4 linked regions of the Lonchura striata genome follow. The protein of the gene in region 2 purifies or fractionates together with the protein of the main gene of each other region. This does not show direct contact. Links are inferred from orthologs where the notes say so. Each region holds a gene or a part of one and is shown on either strand. Other genes may lie near its edges.

Evidence for each region.
Region 1: the proteins of UTRN (region 2) and MARK2 purify together in Homo sapiens (affinity purification with mass spectrometry; 4 studies listed by BioGRID and IntAct, with this or other methods). This does not show direct contact. The link is inferred for Lonchura striata from reciprocal best matches to the Homo sapiens genes UTRN and MARK2.
Region 3: the proteins of UTRN (region 2) and DTNB purify together in Homo sapiens (affinity purification with mass spectrometry; 3 studies listed by BioGRID and IntAct, with this or other methods). This does not show direct contact. The link is inferred for Lonchura striata from reciprocal best matches to the Homo sapiens genes UTRN and DTNB.
Region 4: the proteins of UTRN (region 2) and SNTB1 purify together in Homo sapiens (affinity purification with mass spectrometry; 3 studies listed by BioGRID and IntAct, with this or other methods). This does not show direct contact. The link is inferred for Lonchura striata from reciprocal best matches to the Homo sapiens genes UTRN and SNTB1.

The regions. Positions count from the first base shown.
Region 1 is NC_134638.1:332,538-339,598, forward strand, and holds the start of MARK2 (serine/threonine-protein kinase MARK2), read left to right. Parts: upstream 1-4,034; 5' UTR 4,035-4,121; coding exon 4,122-4,178; intron 4,179-7,061. Other genes in the region: ZFTA (zinc finger translocation-associated protein), read right to left, coding at 315-409, 759-962, 1,679-2,183. UniProt on the Homo sapiens protein: Serine/threonine-protein kinase. Involved in cell polarity and microtubule dynamics regulation. Phosphorylates CRTC2/TORC2, DCX, HDAC7, KIF13B, MAP2, MAP4 and RAB11FIP2. Phosphorylates the microtubule-associated protein MAPT/TAU.
Region 2 is NC_134605.1:49,976,005-49,983,841, reverse strand, and holds the start of UTRN (utrophin), read left to right. Parts: upstream 1-4,720; 5' UTR 4,721-4,721; coding exon 4,722-4,815; intron 4,816-7,837.
Region 3 is NC_134605.1:113,405,517-113,413,398, forward strand, and holds the start of DTNB (dystrobrevin beta), read left to right. Parts: upstream 1-4,848; 5' UTR 4,849-4,996; coding exon 4,997-5,088; intron 5,089-7,882.
Region 4 is NC_134603.1:13,522,262-13,529,694, forward strand, and holds the start of SNTB1 (beta-1-syntrophin), read left to right. Parts: upstream 1-4,297; 5' UTR 4,298-4,379; coding exon 4,380-4,902; intron 4,903-7,433. UniProt on the Homo sapiens protein: Adapter protein that binds to and probably organizes the subcellular localization of a variety of membrane proteins. May link various receptors to the actin cytoskeleton and the dystrophin glycoprotein complex.

The sequences.
Region 1 (7,061 bases), on a different chromosome or scaffold from region 2:
CTCTCCGATGTCCCCAAATGTCCCCATGGCCCGGGGGGGGTCTCTGGGGGGTTTATTGGGGGGTCGTGTACAAGGTGGGAGGGGTGTAAGAAAACGGGGTGGGGGGACACGCAGACATAAATAAGGGGACACCGGGGGGTGGGGGTGACACCGGGGGGTGACACCGGGGGGTGACACCGGGGGGTACAGGAGTGGCTGTGTTGTGGTGGGGGGGAACTGGGGACACTGATGGGGGGGGTCTGGTGTCCCCGCTGCCCCCCTGGGGTGTCCCCTGTTGTCCCCACCCCCTCCCAGTGTCCCCATCCCGGGGGGGCTCAGGCGGGGGGGGCTCCTGTGGCCCCCTCCCCCCCTGCGGCCTCTTCCTCCTCCTCCTCCTCCTCCTCCTCGGCAGGACCGGGGGCTGGCAGGGCTGGTGGGGACAGCGCTGTCACCTCCTGTCACCTCCCTGTCCCCCACAGTGTCCCCTGCGTCTGTCCCCACCCGCTCCCAGTGTCCCCAAAGCTTCCAGCACCCCCCCGGTGTCCCCAGTGTCCCCAGTGCCACCCACCCCAGTGTCCCCGGTGTCCCCAGTGTCCCCGGCTCCCCCCCACAGCCACCACTGTCCCCATATCCCAAACCCTCCTTGATCCCGCTCACTGGGGTTTTCCCTGGGGGTGGCACTTTGTCCCCAGTGTCCCCCTGTCCCCTCTCACCGGGGCTGTCCCCACCATGTCCCCGCTCACCAGGGCTGTCCCTGTCCCCCCCGTGTCCCCTCTCACCGTCCCCGTCCCCGCCGTGTCCCCGGTGTCCCCGCAGGCTGCCGGGGTGCGCGGCCAGCGCGTGCCGCCGGATGTCCCCGAGGTGCAGCGAGGGCAGGGCGCGGGCGCACAGGAGGCAGCGCAGCCGCAGCCCCCCGGCCTCCAGGTCCAGGCGCAGCTCGGCCCGCAGCCAGCGCCGCAGCGGGGACAGCGGGGGACGGGGCCCTGCGGCGGGGACGGGCTGTCACCCAGGGGAGACAGAGGGGACGGGGCCCTGCGGTGGGGACGGGCTGTCACCCAGGGGAGACAGAGGGGGACGGGGTCCTGCGGTGGGGACGGGCTGGGGGGATGCACTGGGGACCCTGGGGACAGGTCCAGGGCCAGTGGGGACACTTTGAGGACCTTGGGGACCACTCGGGGACAGGCCCAGGGCCATTGGTGACACCTTGGGGACACTTTGGGGACCCGGGGCTGGCACTGCGGTCATGGGAGGAGCCCCAGAGAGGGGCGGGGCTGAGGGATTGGGCGTGGTCGGGCGGGGCCTGTCTTAAAGGGACAGTGTCCCTTTAAAGGGCGTGGTTTAGCAAAGGGTGTGGTCAGATCATGGGCGTGGTGTGTAGAGGGCGGGGCTTTAACGAAAAGGGGCGTGGCTACGGTAAAAGTGGGTGTGGTCAGTGTGGATGAGGGCGTGGCCTGAAATTAAATGGGGCGTGTCCATATTTAAAGGGACAGAGCTGCTAAAGGGGCGTGGCCACATTTAAAGGGACAGAGCTGCTAAAGGGGCGTGGCCACATTTAAAGGGACAGCGCAGCTCCTAAAGGGGCGTGGCCACATTTAAAGGGACAGAGCTGCTCCTAAAGGGGCGTGGCCGCATTTAAAGCGACCCCACTCCTCTTAAAGGTGCCGCGCCCCACCTTCCCCACCCCCAGCCCGGCCCGTACCTGTCCCGTGGGCGCCGCCGGGGGGTCCCTCGGGCCGGGGGGTCCGTCCCGGGTGGGCGTCCCAGGAGCGCAGCACCAGCTGCTTCTCGCGGGGCCCCCAGGCTCCGGAGTAGGGGTGCTTCTGGCGGATGTGGCGCTTGATGGTGCTGAGCTTGAGCGTGGCCAGGGCGCTGCCGCACACCAGGCAGCGCATGCCGCGCCGCGCCGCGTTGAACTCCATCAGGTACTCGGCGCGCCAGCGCTCGTGGTAGTACCGGCGGTGGTCCCGGCCCGGCACCCGGCTCCGGCCCGGCCGTGACGCCCGCCGCTCCCGGGGCTGCTCCCGGGGCTGCTCCCGGGGCTGCTCCCAGAGCTTGTCCTGGGGTTTCTCCTGGGGCTTCTCCTGGGATTTCTCCTGGAGCTTCTGGGGCTGCTTCTGGAGTTTCTCCTGGGGTTTCTCCCGGGGTTTCTGGGGCTGCTTCTGGAGTTTCTCCTGGGGTTTCTCCCGGGATTTCTGCGGCTCCATGGTCCGGTGCAGCCCCCGCGGGGAAGGGGCTGCAGGGAAAGCCGGGGAGGGAGGTCCAGGAATCGGGGGAGGTTCAGGGGGAATTTCAGGGGGGATTTGAGGGGTCCAAGGGATGGAGGGGACACCGAGGATTAGGGGTGAGATGTGGGGCAAGGCCGGGGGGTTTTAAAGGGACAGAGCAGCAAAAAGGAGATCTTAAAAGGGGCAGGGGGTTCTTAAAGGGGCAGCGCGCTTCAAGGGGCAGGGTCCGTAAATGAGGAGGGGGCGGGGAAGGGAGGGGCGCATCCTCCAGGGACAGGGACATCCGAAATTCCTGTGGGCATCTGAAAGGGACGGGGATCCTTTAAGGGGACAGGGACACCTTAAAGGCTCAGGGACATCCCGAATTGGATGGGCACATCCTGAAGTCCTGCGGACCTTTTAAAGGGACCGGGCTAATTTAGAGGGATGGAGGCATCTTCACGGGACACCCTAAATTGAATCGGGTCATCTTAAAGGGCCAGGAACCCGTTAAAGAATCCGGGGCCTCCCAGCCCATGACAGGGAACGGCAAAGGGCTGGGGGGGGGGGTCGGGGGGCTTCTTAAAGCGCCAGCGCCGCTCCCATTGTGCGCCCCCCGCTCCCCCGCCGCCCTCTCGGTGCTCACCTGGGCCGGCCGGGGCCGGGAGCGGGCCGGGGGCGGGGTGGGGGCCCGGGGGCTCCACGGCGGGGCCCGGGGCGGCGGCGGCGGCGGGCGGGGGCCGACCGGGCTGGGGACGCCGCCGTGGGGCCCCTGGGGCTCCTTTAAGGGCTCCTGGGTAAATTTAAAGGGGCCGCACGCCTTTCCCATCCCCCCCCCCCGCCCCTCCCCGCTACGGGGGGCTACGGGGAGGGGGCGATGAGTTGCCGGCAGGTCGCAGCCCACCCCCCGCTCCAGAGGAGCCACAGCGGTGATTTTAAGGGGGGTCCCCCTGGATGCTCCCCCGCCCCCACCCCGCAGCAGCGCCCTGGGGTGCCCCGAGCGATGGGGCACCCATGGACCCCCCCACCCATCCCTGCCCCGCCCCTTTGGTCCAAAGGGGGCGTGGCGGGGTGAGGACACGCCCCCTCCCCGTGCTCCCAGTGCAGACAAGGCGCGCCTTGCCCCAAAATCTGGGCGCGTCCAGGTGTCCGGGAGAACCCCCAAAAATCGGGGAGGGTCCTGCGGTCCGGGAGAGTCCCCCAAATTCGGGGACGGTCCTGCGGCCATGAGAAGCCCCCAATTTCGGGGGGCCTCCTGCGGTCCATGAAAGTCTCCCAAACTCGGGGAGGGTCCTGCGGTCCGAGCCGCCCCCCGCCCCATCCTTGGGTCCCCATCGGGGCTGGGGAGGGGCATTCGGCTCCGCTCGGGTGTTTCCGGCACGGGCGGAAGCGCCCGAAGGCTGCCAAGAGGTGTTCGGGCATTTCCGCATCCACTCGGGAGTTTCGGTTCCACTCGGGTATTTCCGGCTCCGCTCGGAGCCGCGGCGGCGCGGGCGGCGCTCGGCCGCTCCCGCTGCGCTCGGCGGAAAGAGCCGAAGGACGCTTCGTGTAGCTCCGCGGCGGAGGCGGAAACACTCGAAGTCCGTGAGGGCCGCGCCCCGAAGCGCTCCGGGAAGAGCCGAAGCGGCGCGGGGAGGCGTGTCGGCTGTTTCCGGCGCGGCGGCGGAAATGGCCGAGGGCCGGCGGCGGCCGCCATGTTGGGAGCCGCGGGGCGCTGAGGCGGCGGCGGCGTGAGGCGGCGGCGGCGGCGGCCGGGCCGGGCCGGGCGGACCCCGCCCGCTCCCCCTGCTCCTCTGCCGGCCCCCCCAATGCCGCTGGCCTGGCCCCCCCCCGCCCCCTGAGCTCCGCCGCCTCCCCTTCCCCCTCCCCGCACGCCTCCTGCCTGCCGCGGCTTCCCCCTATCGCGATAGTCGCCGGCGGCGCGGGGGGGGGGCCGCCATGTCGAGCAGCGCTCGCAGCCCTTTGCCGACCGTCAACGAGAGGGACGCGGAGCAGGTGAGGGAGGGACGGCGGGGGTGGGGTGCGGATGGGGGGAGAGGGGCGGCCGGGGGGAAAAGGGCGTTTTGTGAGGGGAAAAGGGAGCCTGGGGGGTTTTTGTGAGGGGAAAAGGGAGACTGAGGGATTTCTGTGAGGGGAAAAGGGAGACTGAGGGATTTCTGTGAGGGGAAAAGGGAGCCTGGGGGGGGTTTGTGAGGGGAAAAGGGAGACTGAGGGATTTCTGTGAGGGGAAAAGGGAGCCGGGGGGGATTTGTGAGGGGAAAAGGGGGATCCGAGGGAGCCTGGGGGTTTTATGTGAAGGGAAAAGGAGACTGAGGGAGCCTGGGGGGTTTTTGTGAGGGGAAAACGGGGATCTGAGGAAAGAAAAAAGGGGCTTGAGGGGATGGCGAGATGGTTTGTGAGGGGAAATGGGGAGTTTAGGGTCGGTTTGTGAGGGGGAAAAGGGGATCTGAGGGGGCAAAAAGAAGAATTTGGGGGGTTCTGGTCCCGTCCGTGTGGAAAAAAAGGGGGACTGAGTGGGTCTGAGGCGTTTGTGTCCGGGAAAAGGGTCCTGGAGGGGCCTGAGTAATTCTGTGAGGTAAAAAGGTGTTTTGAGGGGGATCTGGGCTGGGTTTTGAGGGGGATCCGAGGGGAAAAGGGGGCTGAGGGTCTGGGGCTGTTTGTGAGGGAAAAGGGGGGCAGAAAGGGTCTGGGGGCTCTTTGTGAGGGGCAAGGGAGGCCTGGAAGGGGTGTGAGAAATCCTGTGGGGTAAAAAGAGCGTTTGATGGCAACCTGGGTCGGCTTTTGAGCGATAGAGAAAATAAAGAAGTCTGAGGGGGTCTGGGGGCATTTTTGGGAGTGAAAAGGGAGATCCTGGGGTATTTTATGTGGAGAAAGGAGAGGATCTGGGGGGATCTGATCTCTCTGTGAATGGAAAAGAGGGACTGAAGGGGTTTGGGATTGTTTTGTGAGGGAAGAGGGGGCTCTGAGGGGCTTCGGGCCCCTCTGTGAGGTGGAAAAGGGGGGTCTGGGTGTCCCCCAGTTCCTCTCTTGCGCCCTGTGAAGGAGCCTGGGGTCTCCCACAGCCCGGACCCTCCTGTGGGGTGGGGGGTCCTGAGCCATGTCCCCCTTCGGGCCTGGATTTGCTGTAGGGAGAGTGTTCTGGGATGAGCCCCTCCCCAGATTTTGGGGTCCCATTTCGGGGTTCCCTGCGGGGCAGCAGCGGGGGTTTGTGTGCATGACCCCCGGTTTTGGGTGAGGGGGTCACGCCTTGCACCCCAAAGGGAGAGGGGCAAGCAAAGGGGGGGTGCCAGACACCCCCACATTGACCCCCCAGGCTCTGGGATCCGCCGTGGGGGGCAAGTTTGGGGTGTCACCGTCCCCCCCCAGCCCGGTGGCTGTGCGCTCGGGGTGTGGGGGCGTCAGCCCACCCCCTCCCCACCCCCTTCCCTGCTGCAGCCCCCCGGCCGGGGGGGCTGTGGGGGCGGCGGCAGCGCTGCACGGGCTCGGCGCCCTCCCCCCGCTTTGGGGGGGCTCTGAGGGGCGAGCCCCCCCAAATCCCTCCCGTTCCGACCCCTGTGAGTGGGGACCAGCCCCCCACCCCGGGTGGGGAACGGGGGGCGCGCCCCCCTGTCTGTCTGAGGGGTGGGGAGGATTTCCTCCGGGGGCAGCTGGGACGGGGGTTCCCCGTTTTAGGGGGCGGATTTGGGGGGCTCTTGGGGTCCCTCTCTGCCCCCAGCTTTTCTGTGGCTGCTGGGAGACCCCGCTGTTGGCTCAGCCGTTTTGGGGAGCACCTGGGGGTCTCCTCAGCTCCCCCAGCTGGGTGACACCCCCGTTTTGGGCGGTGTTTTGGGGGGCTTCCCCCCTTCTGTGACCCCAAGTGCTGGGGGTGGCCCCAGCAGGGCGTGTGGGGGCACAGGTGGCCTCGTGTCGGTGTCCCCAAGCCCGAGGACAAGGCGATGCCACCTGTTCTGTGGCTGTGGCATCGGGCCCCCTCCTCGTTTTGGGTGGTTTTCCTCTTATTTATCCGCTGTTATGTAACGCCAGAGGAGAATTATTCCTGGTGGGGAAGATTTGGGGAGGGGGCGGCAGCGCCGTGTGGGGGGGGCTGTGCACCCTCCCCAGCCCCAGCAGCTGAATTTGGGGGGTCTTTCCCTGCCCCCCCAGCCCCCAATTCCTCCCTCACACAGAACCCGATCCGGTGGGGTCGGAGATAAAAAAAACCCATCAAAAATACCTAAATTTGGCTGACATTTGAGCGGCGCCGCACGAAGCAGCGCTGCCTCCCCGGCTGCCGCCGCCGCGCCGTGCCCGGGGGTCCCGGTCACACCGGGGACACCGGCACCGCTCCCGTTGCCACCGGTTTGGTGCCGCTGGCGTGGGCGGCTGCCGGCGGCATCGACGCCTCCCGGCACCGGGATCCTCACACCTGCCTGGTGACGTCACGGCGGGGCCGGTGATGTCATGGTGGGGCCGGTGACGTCACTGCGGGGCTGTGACGTCACTGCGGGGCCGGTGACGTCACTGCTGGGCTGTGACGTCACTGCGGGGCTGCTGATGTCACACCGTACCTGGTGACATCACACCGTACCCAGTGATGTCCCTGCAGCCTCAGCGCTGTCACTGCTGCCGCCATTCCGGTGCCATCCCGGTGCCTGTTCCAATGCCCATTCCAATGCCAATTCCGGTGCCATTCCCATTCCAATGGCAATTCCGGTGCCCATTCCAATGCCCATTCTGGTGCCCATTCTGGTGTCCACTCTAATGCCCATTCCAATGTCAATTCCGGTGCCATTCCCATTCCCGTGCCCATTCCGGTGCCCGTTCCACTTCCCATTCTGGTGCCCACTCCAGTGACTTTCCGGTGCCCATTCTGGCGCCCATTCTGGTGCCCATTCCAAT
Region 2 (7,837 bases):
GGTTTTGAAAACTCTGAACCACCAGGATTGCTTGTTGGTGGAGCTGGGGCAGATCAGGTGATGGCTCCTCTCCTGTGCTTGGACTTGCATGCTGTTACTCAAGGCTCAGTGCCTGGGCTTCAGCTGAAATGCACGTTACATCCCAGCATATGAGCACACAAATGTTGAACAGTGCATCTGTCATAGATTCATTAGGATTTGGTTTATAAAGGTACCTGTGAATGGGCAGGAACCTTGCTTTGGAAGATGTGCTCAGCATTTTAAATGACAAGCAAACTGCAGAAGGCTCCTACTTTTCCTGTGGACCTCCTATGAGTCACTCCTATGAGTTGCTGTAAACAGGTGGCCTGGGATGATTTGCAAAAAGCAAGTACTGTTTGGATGTGGCTGGATTTTACAGGTGTGATCATAATGTAAGCAACACTTTCCAAAGATTAATGTCCTCCATAGATTTCCCTAGTATTTACATTCAAAATATTCCCTTTTACAAAAGGAAAAGGGAAACTGTAAGAAGAACATCAAAAAATACCAAAATTATGGTGATTCTTGAAAGGCATTACAATTTATGTACAGTTGCTACTATTATTTCTTTTGCAGGATGAGTCAGTTATTTGTGGCAGCCAAAGACATGCAGTTTTATGAGACCCATGTGTCAAGTGCCTGAAGCGCTGTGTGCTGGAAAGGTTTGTGTTGGAGCTGCCTGTGAGAGCACTGAGAGAATATCTCTCTGTTATCTGTACTGCAGTGCTCCACTAGCCACCACACACGCTGTTCCTCTTCCACAGTAATGAGGGCATCTACTGTATTGATAATGTTCTTTTCAGTAGAAAGCTTTATGCTGACATGAACCTGGCTGTGTGAAACAAGGTTTCAATAGAAATGCTAAAAACTCATTGTTCTCATTTTGAATTTGCTGGTGTTGTGGGTTTCCTGGAAGTAAGGGATAAGCTAATAACTAGTTTCCATCAAAATGCAACAAGCATTTGAATCATTACTTTCTGTTTTAAGTTTCTGTTGCCCCTCCACCATCCTTCTTAGCATCTCCTTTGAAGCTCTTGTTTGCTTGCTGAAACAAGTATTGTGTGGCCTGCTAATTCAAATTGTGCGGCAGGCCAGCTAAAAAAGTTGTCAGGTTGTTGTGGTGAAATAAAACATCCTGAACAAAATTATGGGGTGGTAATCCCAGAGCATGAGAAGCTCTTAACCAGATGCTCATTATAGCAGTATTTTAAAGGGTAGAACTAGCCAGGTAACACAGGAACCTTGAGAAAGGCTGAGCTTCCCCTCTAGGAAAACGCTTGGCTCTCACCTTGGAGAAGGAAGGTGAAGGAGGAGCTCTGTACCTCCTTGTTCTGCTCCCATAAGAAGTCCCTTAGATTTGTTTTTTCCTCTGCCAAGAACCCAAGCCTTTCTCTATAGACTAGTTTGGAAAAGTGGAAGTTCAGAGCAGGGCTACTCAAGGCCTACTTGGAACACAGCTGGAAGGAGACAGGCTGTGAAAAAGAAGCCATTTTCCTCTTCTTAGAGTCAAGGCATTCAAAGCTCTTGGAAGGCTCCCAGAAGGCAAAGAAGAAATGGAAACCAATTTCATTATAGATTGTCTTACATACAGGGGAGTTTTAGAATTAAAGGATGTTGCCCTCTGGTCCCATTGTTGTTTGCCTCTGTGACCTTTAATTTTACTCTGAACCCTGTGCTGACTGTGTATATGCTGGGGCTGTGATAGAAAAGTGAACTTAAGTATTTATGAGCTCACTTTTAAATGAATGAATACAGTTATCTGAGTTTTTTCCCTTTTCCCCCCAACTCTAGGTGGTTTTTTGCTTTTCCATTCCCTGCTCTGTGAACTAAGATATAGTTAAGTCGTGCTTCACAGATAAAGTATGGAATTTAGACCTACTCTTCAACAAGGGCTGAATTGTCATCTGAGTTCCAGTCCTTCTGTAAACTATTACAGCAAGCTTGTCATGTGTTGAGTGTAGCATTGTTCTTTATGCTTTGTAATATATGGGCAAATATAAAAAGACGTGATTTCTAATTATTAGGCTTCTAGTTAGGCTTCCCTCTACTTCTGTCTTCCCACAGTAGTTTCAGCTGGTCTTTTCTATCATACATGATAAGAAGCCTAGGCAACCAGCCAGCTGCTCTGGAACTATAATAGGGCCAGTGGCATGTACAAAATTTGATTACTGCTGTCAACACCAGAGAGAATAGAAGAGAGCACGTACTCCAGTCAGAGAGCTACTAAATAAATGTTGAATTCAGTAGTAGTAGAAATAAGACCATCTTCCTCGTAATGAATGAAGTAGTTTATGGGTAGAGAGTATACTATTGAGCTCTGGAGTTAGGTTAAAATATTTTTTAAAAAGTCTTCCTTTGCAGCCTTCAAAGATTACTTTGACCAGAAATTTCTATTTCCCTTCTGTTTATCTGCTCTTGCAGCTAATGTATGGATTTCACACCCAATACTGCAGATATTCATAGAGACCATGGTTTCACTTTTAAAATTTAGCTTAAAAATATTCCTGCCATCCTAAAGGTAACTTATTTGCACATGGGTTCAGATATGAAACTATTTCATGCTAGTAATTCTATTTCTGTTTAGGCAAGAGATGTTTGTTTTTTTTAATTTAAACATAGTGTAACAACCCCCCACCTCCCCCTCCCCCCACCTTAAGTTAATAAATATTCTCAGTGTATATTCTTGTTGAAATGTTGGATTTTTGAGGTAAAACCTGCTGTTAGATAAAAGTGTTTTCTCTGATGTTCATGGCGCAGCTGCTGGTGGCAGGCAGAGCTTGAGGGCTGAGCTTCTCTGGAAGCTCTGGCGCATGAATGATTTACTCAGCTTTGCTAATACCTTCACATTGAATGCAGTTCAAGGGGTCGGTGGAATCAGAGTGGTGTTTCTCTAACTGCTCTCACTGACTGCAATCACTTCCTCCTTTGAGAATTGGTAAACCCAGAAATGTTGTCACAGACTAGCTGACTCGTGAAACTTGTGCTTATTCTTCAGTCTTGCCAAGTGTGGGTGGGCCTTGGAGCAGCAGGGACTAAGGTGAGGTAAGGTATTGGATATACAGGCGAGCATTCTTAGGGGATTCAGACCACTCTCATCTCAAAACTTGAAAAAAGGAGCATGTGGTGCTGTTGGTAAGACTTCTGGCATATGTGCAGGTCTGTGTGCTAATTCTCATCGTTTCCTTGGTGGAGATGGTCGCATCTTTGTTTTATGCTTGGGAAGTGCTTGGTGCACAGTAAGGTTTGTATTTGTATTTACAAAATACATACTTGTTTGTTTCTAAAATAGAAATTCTAACTTTAAAACTTTTATTGCCTTTCCACTTTGGTCTTGTTAGCATGGTTCACAGAAATGTTTGGCTACAAATGTCTGATTTAGCCCCCTGAATGTATGGTTGTCTTTATTCATGGAAACAAAACTCCTTTTGTGTGAGGCCTTTCAGCCTTCAACTTTGAGGAATTCTTGAATTCGGGGAAAAAACATCCAACCCACAAATTTAAGTAAGACCAACTTCTGGCCCACAAAAATTTAAAGAAAGATCTAATCTTGATTTCTTCCTCCTTCCCTTCTCTGAATAGTGTCTGGGGTGTAATACTGTCCTGACTGGATATCAATGAAGAGAGGAGAGCTGTATCAAGAACATTTGTCTTATAGCATGATACAATGAGACAGGCAGACAAATCAAACAGCCTCTATCTTTCTGGTTTTGAAACCAATTCTATGGTTTAGAACTCTTTTCTCTGGTTATAGTGCCTGTACTTGCGTGTTCTAGCTAATCTCTTCTTGCATTACTTTGTTGTGACTTTTGGAATTCTGTACAGTTCAGAATCCAAAAGTGTGGGATATGGAGTGTCTTGCATAACTACAGCATTTGGATTCTTCTTAATTTGGTTATAGAGATGGCAACAGGCTTTGGAAGACAGAGGGATTCAATTTGCTTTTTGTACTGGTGGTAAGCAAAATTTAAAGACCCACTTGAAAATAACTCAGATCTTATCATAGCCCTGCATTACCAACTTTTTGCTTTACTGTTCCTTGCTCTGTCTTGTTTGGAATTACTGCACAGTGGAGAGGGCATGCCTAATCAGAGTTTGTAATTTTCTACTTGTACAACTTCCTTTATGTGCTATAATCTTATGTTTAAATTTTCTTGTGCTTTTTTGAAAGGCCATTTAAAGATGTGGATGCTTACTTTGAAGAGTTGTTCTGGTTTTATGTTCTGTTGAATGTGTGAAAAAAGTGTTATAATGATACTGCAAACTTTTTACAGAATGAATGCTAAAAGTATTTAGGATATTTAAAATGAGTATGGTGCTTGACCAGAGTTTGATTTGAACAGAAAAGGAAAGTTACCATCAGCTTTCCTATTTTCAGTTTGTAGAATTTAACTTGCCTGTTCTCTGAAAGCTGGTGTCATCCTATTTTCATAAGGAGTAGCAAAGCAGCATATTTATCTGATTTTAAAGAGAAAAGAAATCTCAAGTAGCTGGACGCCTGTGACTTGCTAACGTGCAGCCTTTTTAAAGGTTTATTTCCTGACTGGTTTTGTCAGTCACTGTGTGGCTGAATGTGTCAAACCCTCAGAGGAAAACCAGTGCTTCCCTCCCCCTAGAATCCCAGCATGCAGTTCTTGCGTGGGTACTAGCGTGTACTTCCTCTGCATCTTCACTTTCCTGTTATTCAAAAACTGAGCTTGATCATGAGCGTTCAAACAGCCAAAAAAGTTGTATGGAAAAAGTACAAGGTTGCTGCACCTCGGCATACTGACCAGCAGACCTGTTATGCTCCGCTGGGTGAGTGCTTCCCTGTGTTCTGAAGGCTGTGGTAGATGAAAAGATCCAGGCATGTGGGTCTGCTTTTATCATCTACATTTGATGAGAGCTGCTTTTTTTAAATTTGCAAAAGTTTATTTACTCTAACAGAGCAGGTCGTGGAGGGCATGGCAGGAAACAGAGTGGGGAAAGGCTGTTTTCTGTGGTGCTGCTCCATTGAAAGCGTTGTGTGAGCTCTGGCTGCGTCACACCTACAGACACAAGATCCTCTTGGTAATTAATGCTTGTGTTGTGGGCTTCCCTTTCACCTACAACAGTGACTTGTTCATGGCAGAAATTTTAGCATCATTCTGTCTGCTTGAAAGTCTTAATGTCCCTAATTTTCTTAAACTATGCATTAAATTCTGGTGACTTCAGCATTTACTTGTTTTGAGTCTTTAAAGTTCTGCCTAGTGTGCCTTCTGGTACTTCTGAATGTAAACTTAGAGCAGGTCCTTGGCACCTCACAAGTTTTTCTTCTCATTTTAGTAGTATCTCAAAAGAGCCATATTTCCTGTAATTTGGAAAGAATGTTTTGTGGAGGGATGCTTTGAAAAAGAATAAACTTGGGATATTACTCTTTTGTCCTCGTTTTGGCATCTTTCATACCTATTCTGATTGAAATTTCATGGGTTGTCTCATCTGTTTTTTGACTGGGCCAAATAACACAGATTGGCAAGGAAATGACAATTTGATTATTCGTAGTACCTGTGAATATGCTATGTAGGTACAGTAATTGACAGATGAGAACTGTTAATTTTGTGAATTGGTGTCAGAACTTTGAGAAAGCAGAACCTGTTGATCAATAAAGAATTTGGTCCACTTGACTTTTAATGTGGGTTTTTTTACAAAGCTGGAATCTGAAGATAGGTTTTTAGAAAGAGAAACTACAATCCTCTGAAGTTGTATCAATGTAATGACTAAATTTAGAATAAAATGATGGGCTGGGACTCTGATTTCACATATGTTTGCTTCTAGAACAATGAGGTAGATTTGGATATATGCCAGTTTAGCTGAGAGCAGAAAGTTTTCCTTTGTAGCTCAGTCCAAACTTCCTTAAGAAACTGACAAAAATGTTAAGAAAACTCAGTAATGTGAGTGGAGTTTCTTTTGACTGACTCTGGAGAGCTGAGTAAATTATAGGTTAGAGAGATGTAGTGTTCTTCAAAATCTGCACGTATTCAGCCCTCAAATGTGAGACATCTGCAGTTGATCACTCTTGGAAGGTTAGCAGTAGGAGAAAATCAATCTGCTTCGTTTTTAACCTCAGCTGCTGTTCATGGAAGTTGTTTGTTCTGGCTTTGCGTGTACTGGTGTAGGTTTTTTTGGACTATTTCTTGGGGTTTTTTTCTTTCTTCTTTTTTTGTTGTATTTTTAGAAGAGCGTAAACTTGGACAGGAGTTATAACCAGCCATATAGTTAACTGATGAGCACTGCAGTTGTGAAACCTCTGAAATGTTCATCTGTGGGATAATAGGAAGGTCAATCTCTCTGCGGTTTTATATCTCAATCCTTCACATCTTTCTAACATGTAAGTGCACACACTTAATATTTGGTAATGTCTGTGTGTCTATGGATGATTTCTCTGGCACTTGCTCCAGGTGGCTAGGCTAAGGTGTGAACCTCCCAGGTGATAGCAGCTACATGCTTGCTCAGGTGCTTTATATGATTGAGCACAATGTTTACTGATTGTTTCTTAAAGCCTGTTTAAATCTGAGCTAAGCTCTCACTTCTTTTAAAATAACATAGATCATGGCCGGTAAATTGCAGTTATAGTTTTTCTTAATCAAGCAGCAAGATTTTTTTCAGGAAATTTATTCAATTATAATCTTTGTAACTGTTCATAAAGTGTAGCACTGTAGATTTGCTTTCCAAGAGAGTCATAGTCCCACATTTATTGTCATCTCACTTTTTTAAAAACTCTATATTTGGAGTCTGTGAGAGGTGTGGCTTTGGACACTTCTTAGTGTGTTGGAAATGCACACAGGAGGGAAAAACTCTGAAAAAAGCTAGAAGGTAAGAGGTGTGGAAAGGAAAATGAGGAAAAAACCTGAAGGTAAAATAAGTCGTGGGGGTGTGTGTGTGCACTATGATGGAGAGGCCATTTCTGAGAGGACAGGATTTTTAATGATGCAGTACTGGAAATACTCAGGGAAAAAAGGGGTGGAGAAGTTGGAAGGGGTGTGTATGTAATTGTTTCTTCATGTCCTTTGCTTTTCACAGAAATCTAGAATACAAAAAAAAGGGACACTTTTCAGTCAGCAGAGGTGTGGCTTTGGCTTTTTTGGTTGTGTGCTTGCTGTGGGAATTGGCAGGGACTGGAGGAAAGGAGGTTGAAGCTCATACCTGATAAAGTATCTGATAGTAAATGAATTAGTTTGGGTGAAACCAAAGTGGATAAGACTAACTTCTGTTCTCTGAAGCCTGGAGAGCACACTAAGTTTTGTCAAAGATTGATTTATGGCCTAAAACATACTAAATAACTTAGCTCATCTGGTGCCCATCTTTATAACAGTCTATTCTCTCTTAATAACCTCTTAAACTCTCTAGCTTGTGACAGGCACTGGGAGTGTGGTAGCATTGGTAGGCTACTGGAACCAAAGCTTACTCTTTATATAAGAGGAGAAAAAAGAAGGGATCTTGTACTTTCTTTTGTCTGTTCAAACAAAAAGGCTTTCTTCATTGCTGTTCTATACTAAGGGAGATAATGTGTGTTCTTCTAGTAAAATTTCTGAAACTATTGCAGGAAAATGATTGGGCTATTTTGTGTTGACATATACACACTTTACTGTTGTGGCACTATTTGATGTGATTATTTAATAAAATGGGGCTTTTTTTTTTGCCTCAATTGCCTAATTACCCAGATGGAAATCACACTGTCATTGCAGGGAAGGCTACTTAACCAATGTTACAGAGGCAGAAAAAGATGCTGGTTCTATGAGACTTTCTCAAAGGGGTTGCTTTGTAGAACTTTTTCTGTAAAATGTCAACTCCTGAGGCCAGT
Region 3 (7,882 bases), about 63 Mb from region 2:
GGTGGATGTTCTCAGTTCTGTTCTCACTTAGGAACTCTTTAAACCAGGGTGGATGTTCTCAGTTCTGTTCTGAGTTAGGAACTCTTTAAACCAGGGTGGATGTTCTCAGTTCTGTTCTCACTTAGGAACTCTTTAAACCAGGGTGGATATTCTCAGCTGGACAGCTCTTTAAACCAAGGTGGGTGTTCTGACTTAGGAACCCTTTAAAGCAGGGTGGGTGTGTTCAGCTGTGTGTTGTGGGAGCTGTGGCAGTTTCTGAGGAGGGAAGGAACCACATCTGGAAGATTAAAGCCAGGCCTTGGGCCTGGCTTGGTGCCTGAGCCACCCTGAGCTCCACACTCAGCCTGCCTGCATGGGCTGCTCTGGGGCAGCTTTAGAGAGCCTAAAGAGGGACTCAGATACAGTGATTCAGGTGATAAGATTGGAATTCATAATATTTTTATTAGGTTAATTGTTTTCCCCTTGGTTCCAGGTAGAAGGAACCATGAATTTGTCATCTCTGGTTTAGTGTTTAAACAGATTTCTATTGTTAAACTGTACCTAAATTTAAATAGTTTTATGGGCCTTTCCCAGTCCTGTGGGCTGTAAGGACTGAACTATTTTAATTTCTCACCTGTGCTTAAATAATACAGATTTATTTAAAAAAAACTTATGTAATGAAGAGTTTTAGGCAGCCCAGATCTGGAAGAAGCAGTAGGAGACCTCAACATTCCACAGCAGGTAGTACATTATATTTGGCCAGGTGGAAACAAATAGAATTATGACAGCAGGTGCCAACTCATCGCTAAATTTTAAGAGTTACATGTCTAAAGGATGTGCTGTGGTTAGCACTTAAAGTAACTTAAGTAGCTGCTGACTGACTGCAAGGTGAGGTATTTTTCAGACTTTGTCAGTGCAACTTTTAACTTTATTTAGGTCAAAGGTTGGACTCAGTGGTCTTGGGTGAACGAGAGCCTCAGTGATTCTGTGATTTAAGAGGTGGGGGGCAAAGGGGTGTCCTGGCATAAAGCAAGCAGGGAGGGAGCTGATGCCCTAACTTAAATTTTTATTTATTTATTAAAACAGAAAGCGACAAAACTAAGGGATAAAGCCCCTTAGTTTTACAGAAGGCAATGGCAAATGTCATCAGCTGGACTTTTACTTCAGGCTTATGTTCTTGTGGAAGGAAGCCCCTTTGTGAGCACAGCTGGAGCAGTTTGGGTGCAGCCAGGCTCTTGAAGCAGGTGTTGTGTGTCTGGCAGCTCAGACAAAGTTAAAGTTATCAGCCCTGTGTAGGTGTTCAGTTCCCATTGCCTGGGGCAGTGGCAGAGAGACTTTTAAATGCAGATTAATGGTTCTGTACTCCTGTACCCTTTCGGTAATATCTAACACTTCACAAACCTAGAATTATTTTAGTTCAGACCTGTGAAGGTGGTGAGGAAGATTTCACACCCTAAGTTAATGTAGGAGGTGAAATTAATGAATTAAAACTGAGCAAGCTGTTTTATCCTGAAGTCAGTTGTGCTGGGGGAAAGCAGTTGCTGTTTCCAGGTGTTCCTCACTGGAATTTCCCTCCTCCCCAGGTGTGCCAGGGAGCTCTGGGAGAGCCCTGAGCTGCCAGCTGTGTGGGACCTGCTCCTGCTGCATCTCCAGTCTGGGGTGATGGGAAAAGGGCAGGAATGCAGCTCAGAGCCCTTCCCAGCAATGCAGACTGCATTCAGAGGCAGCTGCAGAGTTCTCTCCTGTGCTCTGCAAGCAGTGCTGGGGCCTGTGGGCTGGGATGGAGAGGGGAGGCTTCGCCAGCTTCTCTTAGAAGCACGGAGTGCTCAGAAATCCCCTCCACAAAAAGTCTTCCCTTCCTGAGAGGGAGGGGTAAGCTCTTAATTAGTCTGTGTCCAACTTCTTACTGCTCAAAAATCCTCCTGCAGTATTTCCTTTCTCTTACCCGACAGGAGCACTGCTGTATTTCAAGGAAACAATTTCAGCTGCAGGATTTGCTCTTGTTTGCTCCTGGTAAATCCCATAGCAGACATTAATTTCAACAGGCAGGTTGTAAAAAGCCGTTTCTACTCCTGAGGCTGTGGGACAGTGAAGGAAGATGAGGGTTTGGTTCTGGTTTGGGTGTTGTGGCACTGAGTGTGCTGCCAGCTCTGCGCCCTGGCTGTGTGAGCTGGAGAACAGAGCTGCCTGTGCCAAATCTGTGCTGAGACACTCCGTGCTGGCCTGCAGGGCTCCTGGGGCCAGGCTGAGTGCTTCCCTGGGGAGTGAAAATGGATCCAGAGGGCAGTGAGCTTCAAACAGCACCTTGGCAGCGGGGCTGGCACCTCAGTGCCACTGCCACCTCCCCGTTCTTAGCCTGACCTGCAAGTTCCTCAGGGATCCTCTCTCTGCTCTGGGCGCTCAGCTGACACTGGAACTCAGTGCTGGAGCACTTACTGACACTCAGCTGGGACTTTGGGAGTTCCAAACCACCTGAGTTTCTGTGACTTGATGTGAAGTCACAGAAACTCGGGTGCTTTGGAACTCTCCTGGATTTGAGTTTGTTCTGTTTTGTCTGGAGGGAACCTGTGTTAAAAGTTTTGGAAGGCTTTCAAAGAAACCTCTGATTAAATATTGTGACTTATGCCATCTTTGTTGAACTTGAATCCAGTACAACCTTTATCAGTTTCTGACCAGGTGAGGTTGTTGGGCTTGCCCTGGGGCTTAGAGCAGGGGATTTTTTCTGGAATCACAGAATGATTTCAGTTGTGAGTCCAGCCTGTGAGTGATCCCCACCTTGTCCCCAGCCCTGAGCTCTGAGTGCCACATCCAGGAATTCCCTGGATACCTCCAGGGATGAGACTTCACCACCTCCCTGGGCAGTGCCAAGGCCTGAGCTCCCTTTCCAGGCAGAAATTCCTGCTGCTGCCCACCCTGAGCCTGCCCTGGCCCAGCCTGAGCCCATTTCCCCTTGTCCTGTCCCTGTTCCCTGGGAACAGATCCCAAATCCCCCCCTGGCTGTCCCCTCCTGGCAGGAGCTGTGAGAGCCACAAGGTCCCCCTGAGCCTCCTTTGCTCCAGGCTGAGCCCCTTCCCAGCTCCCTCAGGAACTCTCCAGCCCCTTCCCAGCTCCTCAGGAACTCTCCATTCCCTTCCCAGCTCCCTCAGGAACTCTCCAGCCCCTTCCCAGCTCCTCAGGAACTCTCCATTCCCTTCCCAGCTCCCTCAGGAACTCTCCAGCCCCTTCCCAGCTCCCCCAGGAACTCTCCATTCCCTTCCCAGCTCCCTCAGGAACTCTCCAGCCCCTTCCCAGCTCCTCAGGAACTCTCCAGCCCCTTCCCAGCTCCTCAGGAACTCTCCAGCCCCTTCCCAGCTCCTCAGGAACTCTCCAGCCCCTTCCCAGCTCCTCAGGAACTCTCCATTCCCTTCCCAGCTCCTCAGGAACTCTCCATTCCCTTCCCAGCTCCTCAGGAACTCTCCATTCCCTTCCCAGCTCCCTCAGGAACTCTCCAGCCCATTCCCAGCTCCTCAGGAACTCTCCATTCCCTTCCCAGCTCCCTCAGGAACTCTCCAGCCCCTTCCCAGCTCCCTCAGGAATTCTGCAGCCCCTTCCCAGCTCCCTCAGGAATTCTGCAGCCCCTTCCCAGCTCCCCAGCCCCTCCTGGGGCTCCGTTCCCTTCCCATCCTGGGGTGTTCCATGGGCTTGCTGTGACCCCAGTGCAGGACCCAGCTCTTGGCCTGGCTGTCCCTCAGCCTGGCACCCAGCCCATGGCTCCAGGCTGTCCTGGTCCCTCTGCAGAGCTCCCTGCCCCCAGCCCATCCACATCCCACCCCCCTGGGGCTGTCCCTGGGCTGAGCCAGGCTGGTGCCCTCCGTTCCCGTGCCCAGGATGTGCCTCCATGCCCAGGTTTTTCCAGCCAGGATGTCCCTGTCCATCAGTGATTTTCCACCCCAGTAACTGGAGGCACTGAGGGCTCAGTGGGTTGTGCTGCCACCAGCTTTGTCCTGCCTGAACAAACCCGATGGCTTCTTGTGCCTTGGAAAAACCTCTCAGTCCCAGCAGGAATGGCAAGGCACGCAGGAGGGCAGGCTTTAGGATTCAGCACTGTCTTTTTTCCTGAGCTACTGAGTTGCCTGTTCATTTTTAATGAAGCTTCCTGCATTTTTTTGGGCAGGTTTTTGCAGAATCTTCCAGAGCAGCTTTGGATCCACTGGATTTATGGATAAAAAAAGGAGCCATTGACTTGTTTAGAATTTCACTGCAGAGCTGTAATCACTGGGAAGTTACAGTCCCTTTCCTGGCTCCTGGCCATGTGGGTTTTTCCTTACACCCTCTGAGGCCGGAGTCAGTTTGGGTTTGCAGAGATCTTGCACAATCATCTGAGTCCAGCACATGTGAAAACATCAGTGAGAAATCCAAACTTTTGGCTTTTGGGGCAGCTGCTGCTGGAAGGTGCACGGTGGCTCCCAGAGATGCTCCTGTACTTGCTGGAGATGCAGAAATAACATTTTAGGGTACTTTTCATACTTTTGTGCACAGCTGCTTTTGCTTCAGTTACTTATGCTACAATTGGTGTCTAAAATGTTAAAGGTAAATGAGAAGAACTGTCAGAAGTGGTTAAAATGTGCTTTAAAAGATGTTGTAGTCTACTTGAATGGAAGGTTTGTCTTTTCCAGGGGTCAGATGTGGTCCCCTGAAATCACTTTGAGGTCACTCCTCTTCCTGGGAAAAGGCACAGGGGAACAAACAAAGAGTATTTCAGATTTATTATGTTTGACTGCTGAGGAAAGGGATTGGGAATATGAACCAGGAGAACAAAGAAATGAGTAAGAGCATCAGATATTTTGCATAGACAGAGGGAGAGGAGGGGATTAAATCAGTAATTGTGGGGTCCTTTTTTAAATTAGGAAAGAAAAGGAAAAATACTTCATGTTTTTATTGAAATCTGAGATGAACAAATATAAGCACCTTTATATCATAAGTAAATTTAATTTTATACTTTAACAAAACATTTATGACAGTTCAGAAATTATTTTAGATGGGTTCAATGAAATGTCAGACGAGCTCAGAAGCCCAAAGCAAGGAAGTGCCAAAGCAGATGGACACCAGTAACTTTTTCTGCCAGCACAGGTGTGCCCTCCCTTTTTATTCAATATCTTCATCCCAGCTGTGTTATTTATTAAAGTTACATTTTTAAGAGTGAATGCACTGGCAAGGGAGGAAAGCTTTTCCTTGAAACAGCAGGAATAGTTGTTCCTTCTGATCAGGAAAACAGCAGAAAGTCACTGAACCTCCTTCCCTGTGTCAAGCTCAGATCAGCCCATGCCCCAGACTGGCTTTTGGATTTATTTTAATTACAACTTATTTCTGACCATAAATAGCTATGGGCACAATTTTATCTTCATGCAGCAACTGCAATTTAATCAGTGACATCAAATATTATTTCTGCTAATGACATGCAACGCCAAGAATGTGAACCAAGTCAGATTTAATAATTGGTAAATGAACTTTTCTTTCTGTGTTCCTGCTTTGGCCAATGAGGCTGTGGCTCAGCACGAAGCAATGTTTGGAAGTGGTTCTCAAACCCTAAAGGTCAGAATCTCCTTTGGAGTGTTCCTTAAAGGTGGAAGTACAGAATGAAACAAAATGAACTTGGAACAAAACAACTGCAAAGCCAAACTACAGCTCCTGAAAGTGGCTGTGCTCAGCTGGGGTTGGGCTCCTTCTCCAGGAACTGACAGAGCCAGAGGTCACAGCCTCAAGCTGTGGAATTCCAAGGGGAATTCAGGCTGGATATTAGGGAAAAGTTCTTCCCAGGAAGGTGATAAAGTTCTGGGATGGCAGCCCGGGGAGGTGGGGGAGTCCCCGTCCCTGGGTGTGTTTAACAAAGCCTGGATGTGGCACTGGGTGCCAGGGATGGGTTGAGGTGCTGGGGCCGGGTTGGACTCGATGGTCTTGGAGGTCTCTTTTAACTTGGTAATTCTGTGAATTCTGGGAATTTTGGGAATTCCCAGGGACTGGGGAGGTGGTGGAGTCCCCATCCCTGGGTGTGTTTAACAAAGCCTGGATGTGGCACTGTGTGCCAGGGTTCAGTTGAGGTGTTGGGGCTGGGTTGGACTCGATGGTCGTGGAGGTCTCTTCCAGCCTGGTGACTGTGTGTGTGATTGTGTGTGACTGTGTGTGGGACTGTGACTGTGTGTGACTCTGTGATTTTGTGTGATTCAATGGTTTTGATTGTATGATTTTGAGTGACTCTGGTTCTGTGATTGGTGTCACTGTGCGTGATCCTGATTGTGTGGTTGTGTGTGATTCAGTGATCCTGATTGTGTGTGACTGTGAGTCTGATTGTGTGTGACAGATTCTGATTGTGTGATTGTTTGTATTTCTGTGATTGTGATTCTGACGGTGTGACTCTGATTCTGACGGTGTGACTCCGATCCTGTGTGTGATCCAGTGATTCTGTGTGATTGTGATCCTGTGTGTGACTCAGTGATTCTGTGATTGTGATCCTGTGTGTGACTCAGTGATTCTGACTGTGACAGTGATTCTGTGTGATTGTGATCCTGTGTGTGACTCAGTGATTCTGACTGTGACAGTGATTCTGTGTGATTGTGATCCTATGTGTGACTGTGATTCTGATGGTGTGACTGTGTGTGATACAGTGATCCCGCGCATGACTGTGTGATCCCGTGTGTGACTGAGTGATCCTCTGTGTGTGACAGTGATCCTCTGTGTGTGACTGTAATCCTGTGTGACTGAGTGATCCTCTGTGTGTGACTCTGTGATCCCGTGTGATTGGGATCCCGTGTGTGACTGATCCTGTGTGACTCTGTGATCCTGTGTGACTCTGTGATCCTGTGTGACTCTGTGATCCCGTGTGTGACTGTGTGATCCTGTGTGTGACTGTGTGATCCCGTGTATGATTCTGATCCCGTGTGATTGGGATCCTGTGTGTGACTGATCCTGTGTGACTGTGTGATCCCGTGTGTGACTGTGTGATCCTGTGTGACTGAGTCATCCCGTGTGTGACTCTGTGATCCCTTGTGTGACTGATCCTGTGTGACTCTGTGATCCTGTGTGACTCTGTGATCCCGTGTGTGACTGTGTGATCCCGTGTGTGACTCTGGGATCCCGTGTGTGACTGATCCTGTGTGACTCTGTGATCCTGTGTGACTGTGTGATCCCGTGTGTGACTGTGTGATCCCGTGTGTGACTGTGTGATCCCGTGTGTGACTCTGGGATCCCGTGTGTGACTCTGGGATCCCATGTCTGATTCTGATCCCGTGTGATTGGGATCCCGTGTGTGACTGATCCTGTGTGACTGTGCTCCCCGGTGTGAGAACAAGCCCGTCCGCAGCTCGGGGGTGATTGCCTGAGCACAGGGCTGTCCTTGGGCTGTCCTTGGGCTGTCCTTGGAGCTGTCCTTGGAGCTGTCCTTGGGCTGTACCTACAGCTGATGAGCTCCAAGAAGAGCGGAACCTGCTAAGCAAGGTCCTGTAGTATTGGCCTGAACCCGGGAGCGCCTGCAGGGAGCCAGGGGGCACAGCCGGGGTACAGCCAGGGTACAGCCAGGGTACAGCCGGGGCACAGCCAGGGCACAGCCGGGGTACAGCCAGGGTACAGCCGGGGCACAGCCAGGGCACAGCCGGGGTACAGCCAGGGTACAGCCAGGGCACAGCCGGGGTACAGCCAGGGTACAGCCAGGGTACAGCCAGGGTACAGCCAGGGTACAGCCGGGGCACAGCCAGGGTACAGCCGGGGCACAGCCAGGGTACAGCTGGGGCACAGCCAGGACACAGCCAGGGCACTGCCGGGACACAGCCGCGGCACAACCAGGGTACAGCTGGGGCACAGCCGGGGCACAGCCGGGACACAGCCGGGGCACAGCCGAGGGGCACAGCCGGGGCACAGCCGGGGCACAGCC
Region 4 (7,433 bases), on a different chromosome or scaffold from region 2:
GGAACGAGTAGTTCAGGCATGTTCCTCAGAAAGGAACTTAAACTTGGCTGCTACAGTGTTTGGGATCACTGAAGGAGCTGAACTCCCTTCCAGCTTTCTCATTATTTGCCATGTTTCCAGCACTGGCCTTCCAACACTGGACTTCCTTCCTATCCAGATCTGTCTGCTGAGCTGGTCGGTGTCAGGGTAACAAGATGGGAATGTCATTATCCAGACCTGATTTTGTCCAACCTCCGTCAGCTGAAGCATGTTCAAGGATCACAACCCAGTTTTTTCCAATTTAAAGCAGCTTTGGCTGAGCTGGCTTTAAGCTGTTGTAACACTGATAATGCAAAAAGGAAGAAAAATAAGATACAAGAAGGGTTTAAGCATGTCCCAGAAGTCCTTAAAAAATTACACCTCTGCTATAGAACAGCACAGACAGTCATAAAGAAGCCACAGCTATAGAAAGGCTCTCTTGTGTCCTTACCTTCTCTGCCTGTGAGGGAAATGGGAACTATGTTCCCTGTAGTGCTGAGTGGTGAGCTTGCATATGTGGCCTTGCAATGATTTTGCTATTAGGACGACAGTTTATGTACACAAGATATGAACACTGGCCTCTGCCTGAAAAAAGGGAAAAGCCCCCATTAACAGGCAGTGTCCTCATTGTCTCCAGTAGCCTCTACAGAAAGTTGAGCACCATACCCACAACCCTTTCTGCACAGTTTTTCTTGTACTTTTGTTCTTGCACATACAGACCCCAAATCCCTTGATCTTGCTTGGACACCTGGGCAGTTCCTCAGACATCACTTCTGCACTTTATGACCTGGACATGCTTTGGTGCTCCTTGTCCTGGGAAGCAGCTTCTGTGTTTTTCAATGCCCTGACTTCTTCCAGTTCACTGAACTGCTTCTTCCATTTAGGCCCTTGACTTCAGCTGAGCCCATGGGCCCCTGCAGGTCAACAGCAGCTATTAGCATTATTTTGCCTAACAATTTGTTTATATAGCAGGAATGAAAGGGACACTAATCTAGTTCAAGCATCTAAGCACTGCTAAAATACAAAAATCAAAAAATTATTATTTGGCTTGTTTGAAAGATTCCATTCTTCACATCAAACCCTTTCAGAAGGAAAACTGATGGAGAGAGAGTTTTGCTAAGCCTTGTCTGTGCTGAACGGCTTTCTAGTGATTAGAGATGGAAGTTTGGAAGTATTGAGTGCTTTGCCCATCCCACCACACATCTCAGCTTCTTTACAGAGAGTCACTGAACACTGCAATTGCAGTGTGAGTAATTACAGATGCTGCCAGAAACAAAACTGTCAGGGAAAGTTTGTAGTTGAAATCAGGAATTTGCTTTCTGCTATGCCCTGGAAAACATTAGGGACCAGCAGCTGACTTTGGAATAACAATTTTCTGTGGCAAACCTGGGCATCCAATATCTGAACACCCAATTAAATGCCTGGTTTTATCTTCTGTTTCTGCTCCTGCTGCATAAACCTGAATTTCAGAAATCACAATGCAGGTGTGACTGGCAGACCTGAGGCAGGACTGAAGTCAGTAATGTTGGTAGGGGTACCAGCAGAGAAATCTCAAGACATCTTTTCTTTCTCACCTTCAGTTCAGCAGCCCAAAGTTGCTCTTGGGGTACACAAAGACTCAGGGTACACAAACAGAATTATGAGCCTGCACTCCCAGGACAGGGAACACACGCATCAGTATCAACTGCAGTGTCTTCAGGAGGAAAGACAATCTGTGGCACTGTTTGCCTCGAGCCTGTGCCTTAGCATCTCTTACACTACCTTTATTTTCAAGACTAAAACATCACCTCCATTTTCTTTACAGTCCCAAGGTGGGCAAAAAGGGGGAGGAAGAAGCAGGGAAGGCTGCTATGAAGTTTATTTTGTACCGGGGATCCATATCTCAGATGAAGGTCCTGGGAAACTTCATTATGTACCTCAGTTGGAATGAGAAAGCAAAATATCTGGAATAAGCACAACTCTCAGCTACATGCAGTGCAATTGTCTATACAAGTGAGTTCCATGGGAATCTACTGGAGCACCAGGAACAGTCAGCAAACATGGCCCAAACACACAGTGTGCCAAAGAAGGGTGAGGCATTAAACATTTACTTTCCTTTCTCTATTACCTTTGCACAACAGGACAGAAACCACCTAAATATCTCTTCATTATAAATTTTCTTGAACTACTTCAAAAATACACTTTTCCATTAGCAGCAGCACTCATCCTTTATTAATTACTAAAGAAGAAACATAAAAATAATTGGTAAGAGCTGATCACTTGGAAACAGATGTCTGATTTTATAACTTGACCTGGACATTTGTGCTTGAAGCTACACAGGAGTGTGAATGCTACAACAACAGGCACGGTAACACCTGATTTTGCAAACCTGTCTGTTCCCTCCCATCCTTATTTTACAAACCTAAAGCTGCTGGAACCAAAGGAGCACATTCATTAATTATGCTTTGCACCTGGGAATGGGATCTACAAAAACCCACCAACCCAAACATCCAGGGTATTGTACATGAGCTACTAAATGAGCAAGGGAGGAATCAGGTGGAGAAAAGGGTGTGTTGCAGCCTGCTCCTGCACAGGGATTAGGTACCTTGTTCAGGTTTAGCGGGACATGCTTCTTTTCACTCTGGATTCACAGCCCTGAAAACTTAATTATAGCTTTTCACCTTGCATTGATTAACATGAGAAATGAAGAGCCCTCTCTTCCGTCTGCTTTTTCTCCACCCACTCATTATCCTTGAATAACACATAATTTGGATTCTCACTCTCCATAGGTGCAGGGTTGCATTCCTACTGGGGAGGAGGGATCCATAACCTGGATGAGGCTGCAGATGAACTAAAGTAGAGGCCTCCTTTTGGAGGGAAGAAGCATGGTCTGAGAGACCCTACTAAACCAAGACAAACTCGTCTGAGGATGATCCCATATATAGGTCCCACCACAAAGTGAGGAGGTGAGTCCCAGGTTGGCCAGCCCACATTACCCTGGGGCACATGTGTGTACCTAGAAACAAATCCCCAGTGTCAGAAATGAATGGCATCACTTCAAAAAAGGGCAAGATGGAGCCCTTAGGAAGCCACATGACTCACATGGCTGAAATGATTGGGACTATCCAAAATTATTTGGACTATCCCAATATCCCCAACTTCTCTGGCTATCCCAGCCTCCACAAAGTGTTGTCTATACATACACCAGATGGTCCAGAAGCACTGGAGTTTTCATTCCAGCTTAGGAAGAAAGCAGAGCTGCTCTGCAAGGAGCAGAAACAAAGGCAGTCCTGGAGGTGCTTCCTGTCTGCAGCTGCTGTGGGGGAGCACCTCCAGGCCTGCTGAGGACATTTCTGAAAGGCAACCTGAAAGCATTGCTTTCTCTGATGCCTGAGCGGGAGCTTTAAGCCCCTTGTCAGGGGTCTATTGTTTCCTAGGAGGGCAGAGAGTATGGGAAAAATTGCAAAAAAAGACATGTAGCCCCACAAGTCTTTAACATTTGTAATCAAAGGGCATATAAACAATTACTAAATGTGCAAAAGTATCAGTCACAAACACTTAATACCTTCATCCTACAAAGCCGTGAAATAACTTGTATTCTACTTCCATACCGCTGAAATTTAAGTACTTGGGGCCACCCGTTAGTTTTAATTCACTTTATAGAAAAATCCTTGGGAATAAAACAGAACTGGGTTTTCCTTATCTCTTCCCTGCCCTTGGTTTCCTACAGCTCCCCGCTACACCCCACTGCAGACGGCAGCTGCGGGGCTGGCACTGCCGCTCCGGCGGGGCCCCGCAGCGCCAGACGCGGCCACAGCCCGGGCTCGGAGGGAGCCGGGGCTCCGCGCGGGGGTCCCACGCCGTGTCCCCGAGGGGTCCCATGCCGTGGGGCTCGGAGGGAGCCGGGGCTCCGCGTGGGGGTCCCACGCCGTGGGGCTCGGAGGGAGCCGGGGCTCCCCGCGGGGGTCCCACGCCGTGTCCCCGAGGGGTCCCATGCCGTGGGGCTCGGAGGGAGCCGGGGCTCCGCGTGGGGGTCCCACGCCGTGTCCCCGAAGGGTCCCACGCCGTGGGGCTCGGAGGGAGCCGGGGCTCCGCGTGGGGGTCCCACGCCGTGGGGCTCGGAGGGAGCCGGGGCTCCCCGCGGGGGTCCCACGCCGTGTCCCCGCGGCAGGGGCGGGACGCCCCGGTCCCACTCCGCCCGCGGGCGGTGCCGCCAGGTGCGCCCGCCCCGGCGCGGCCCCGGCGGGGCGGCCGCGGCTCCTGGCCCCACCCCGCCGCGCCGGGAGCTGCCGCCCCCCGGCTGAAGTCCGGAGCGGCCGCGCCGTGCCGAGCCGAGCCGCGCCGGGGGTGCCGTCACTCGGCGCTTCCAGCATGCTCCTAAGATGGCGGTAGCGGCGGCGGGCGGCGGCGGGGGCGGCCGGGCGCAGCGCAGCGGCTGGCTGGAAGTTTTGGTGCGGGAGCGCTGGCACAAAGTGCTGGCCAACTTGGGCGGCGAGGCGCTGGTGCTGAGCGGCGAGGAGCGCCCCGACGGCGCGGCGCACAACGGGCTGGGCGGCGATGGGACGGCGTGCCGCGGGGCCGAGGGCGGCGGGGGGCCGGCGGCGGCGCGCACCGCCTTCACCGACCCCCCCGAGCAGGTGCCCGAGGCCATCTCCAACAAGAAGCGGTGCGTGAAGGTGCTGAAGCAGGAGATGGGCGGACTGGGCATCAGCATCAAGGGGGGCAAGGAGAACAAGATGCCCATCCTCATCAGCAAGATCTTCAAGGGGCTGGCGGCCGACCAGACCCAGGCTCTCTACGTGGGCGATGCCATCCTGGCCGTGAACGGCACCGACCTGCGGGATGCCACTCACGACGAGGCGGTGCAGGCGCTCAAACGGGCCGGCAAGGAGGTGCTGCTGGAAGGTAGGGGAGCGGGGCGGTCCGGCCGTGCGCACCCGGGAGCGGGGGCCTGTGGGGCGGGGCGGCTCCGCTGCCCGAGAGGCGGCGGAGCCGAGCTGGGAGCGAGGGGATGACCCCGCGCATCTCCTGCTGCTCCTCCGAGCGTCTTTCAGCACGGAGAGTTCACGCCCTGTACGCGCTGGGACCCTCGACGGCGTGTGTCATGGACACAGCCCCTCGGCAAGGGACGAGCGGGATGCCGGGGAGCCGGGCTTGAACTTTCCGCTCTCGTATCCGCCGGTGCAGTCCCCACAGCCTCGTCCGTGCGCGGTCGGTGGAGGCTCCGCAGCCCCGTCTGGTCGCGGCGATGCACCCAATACACTCAATATCTGCTCCTGGGCTGAGGCTCCCGGTAGGAGCCTGACCGAGCCTCCTGCAGGGTGAGGGATCCTCTGGATCTGCCGTCAGGACGCTTTCACATCTTTTCAGTACAAGAAAGGTGGGGAGAGTTGGGTACTTTGAGAGGAGAGGTTAAACAAGTAAAGGAACCCCTCCTTCCTCCCCTGGCATTAAGGGAATGACATGGGTGACTTTGCCCCAGTCATCTCGAAACGCCCGACACCACCCTCTCTCCAGTTCCTCCTTCCACCACGTACTCCCGAATAGGGATGTGGGGTGGGGGCAAAGCGGTTTAAATGAAGCTGAAGGTGCCTCACGGACTCACTAGCCATCCCACCCCTGCAAAGGAGCGCCCTTTCCTTTCTCAAGGGTGGCTGAAACAGTTTTGTAAAAAGTAGCCTTAGAAATTGACCTCAGAGAAAAGAGCAGACGCTGGTGTGCGTGGAGGGGACGTGGAGGGAGGGTGTCCCCCCAGAACGGGACGGATGTTGGGGGAGAGCGAGTAGAAAAGCACAGGCGGTTTCCCTCAGACTACGAGTCCATGAGGAGAGAGGCGTGCACAAACGTTTAATCCCCGTCTTTTCACAAGGGCTAATTTACTTGCTCCACCTGAGAGAATGAACAGCTTCAGAACTGCCCTTGGCGTGTGTATGATAAAGTGATTACATATTTGCCCACGAGTTCATTTAACCGGAGGTCAATGGCATTTGAGGCATGCTGCATCGCTGCCTTCCCCTGTGCCATCGCTTTCCTGCCGGCACTCCCACCTCGCTGTACCTGTAGCCCTTTCCGTACCGCGCATTTCTTTCTGTGTTTTTTTGGTGGTTATTTTGAGGAGCAAAAGGAGATGCTACCGCTGGCTGGGAGGTGCAGCTGAGGATCAGCCATGAGCAGCCAACTATGGCATAAATTTGCAGAAAAAGTTTGAAAGGGAGAGAAGGTGACAAATGTATTCCATAGTAGTGTGTGCTGAGAAACTCTTTTGTTGTCCCTATGACAGTGAAAACTGGAGGAGTTATGCTCCATGAGGATTTAAGAAGCTGAGGACAATTGTGTCTCCTCTCCCTCTGTGCCCTGCAATACCTGCAGGACCGAAGTGCATCTTGTCTTCCCTTGCTGCAGCTGAATTGATTACAGCTATACCTCTGAAGTATTAATATGAACTTCTCTGAAGTGGGGCTGTTGCATCTAAATTTTGTCACTGATTTGCTTGTGCAGTGTAAGGTCTTTCTGGGGTGCCGTCAGGTAGTGGCTGGGCTTTTGCTGTGACCTAATGAGTAATGTATATGATGCTTGCAAATCTCCCTGCCTCTGTGTGGTGAGCCTTAAAAAACCCTGTTTTCTTCCAGGCTAGGAGTGAAGATGAAGCCGTTTCAGTGGGGACTCTGAGCACCCTCCTTCACTCCTTTTGACATCACAGCTGTCTTGCATTTCTTTGCTCCGTGCTGAGGTGCCTCAGTAGTTGTTTCTGCAATTGAATTTGTAATTTGCAAAACGAGAATATATTTCAGTAGTGATCTGTATATAGAGGTAAAATATTCTGATGCTGCACTCCGTATTTTGTCCTGGCTTTCTCTTGCTATTTCAGCAGAGTAACCAAACCAAACGTTGGCTCCAGCATTGCCTGGGAGGGCTTCTCCCTTCAGTGGGGACCCACTCCACATGAATGGCGTGTGAAAACAGGCAGCTTAGAACAATTCTCTGTGATTTTATTGCCCACTTTGAAGCTCATTCTTCAGCAGCAGAGTCTAAAATGGTATGTTTATTACTAAAGGAAGGAAAATGCAGAAGTTCTTTTTACTCTTTAAAGTATGGAAGGGTAACACTTGATTTTCCTTTCCTTACAGACAATAGGATTTTGCCATTTCCTGACTTCTTAGAGAGTTATATATGGCAAAAAGCAGGCTGTGATGGGGCAGGGCAACACCCTTGTGCAGGTCCTCTCTAGACTCTATCCAATTCACAGAGCAAAGTCAGCATGTGTTTCCAGGGTCAAAATGTAAGATCTACATTTTGGGGAGATTCTGAGATTTGTTTGTGTCTTCCAGCCCAGGAAAGTCAAATTTGCAAAGGCATGGCAAGGTGTAAAGCACAAGAAACACATTTAATGGTGCAGCAGGGCTCTGAGTATTGCCCAATGCATTGTGCATTCCTGG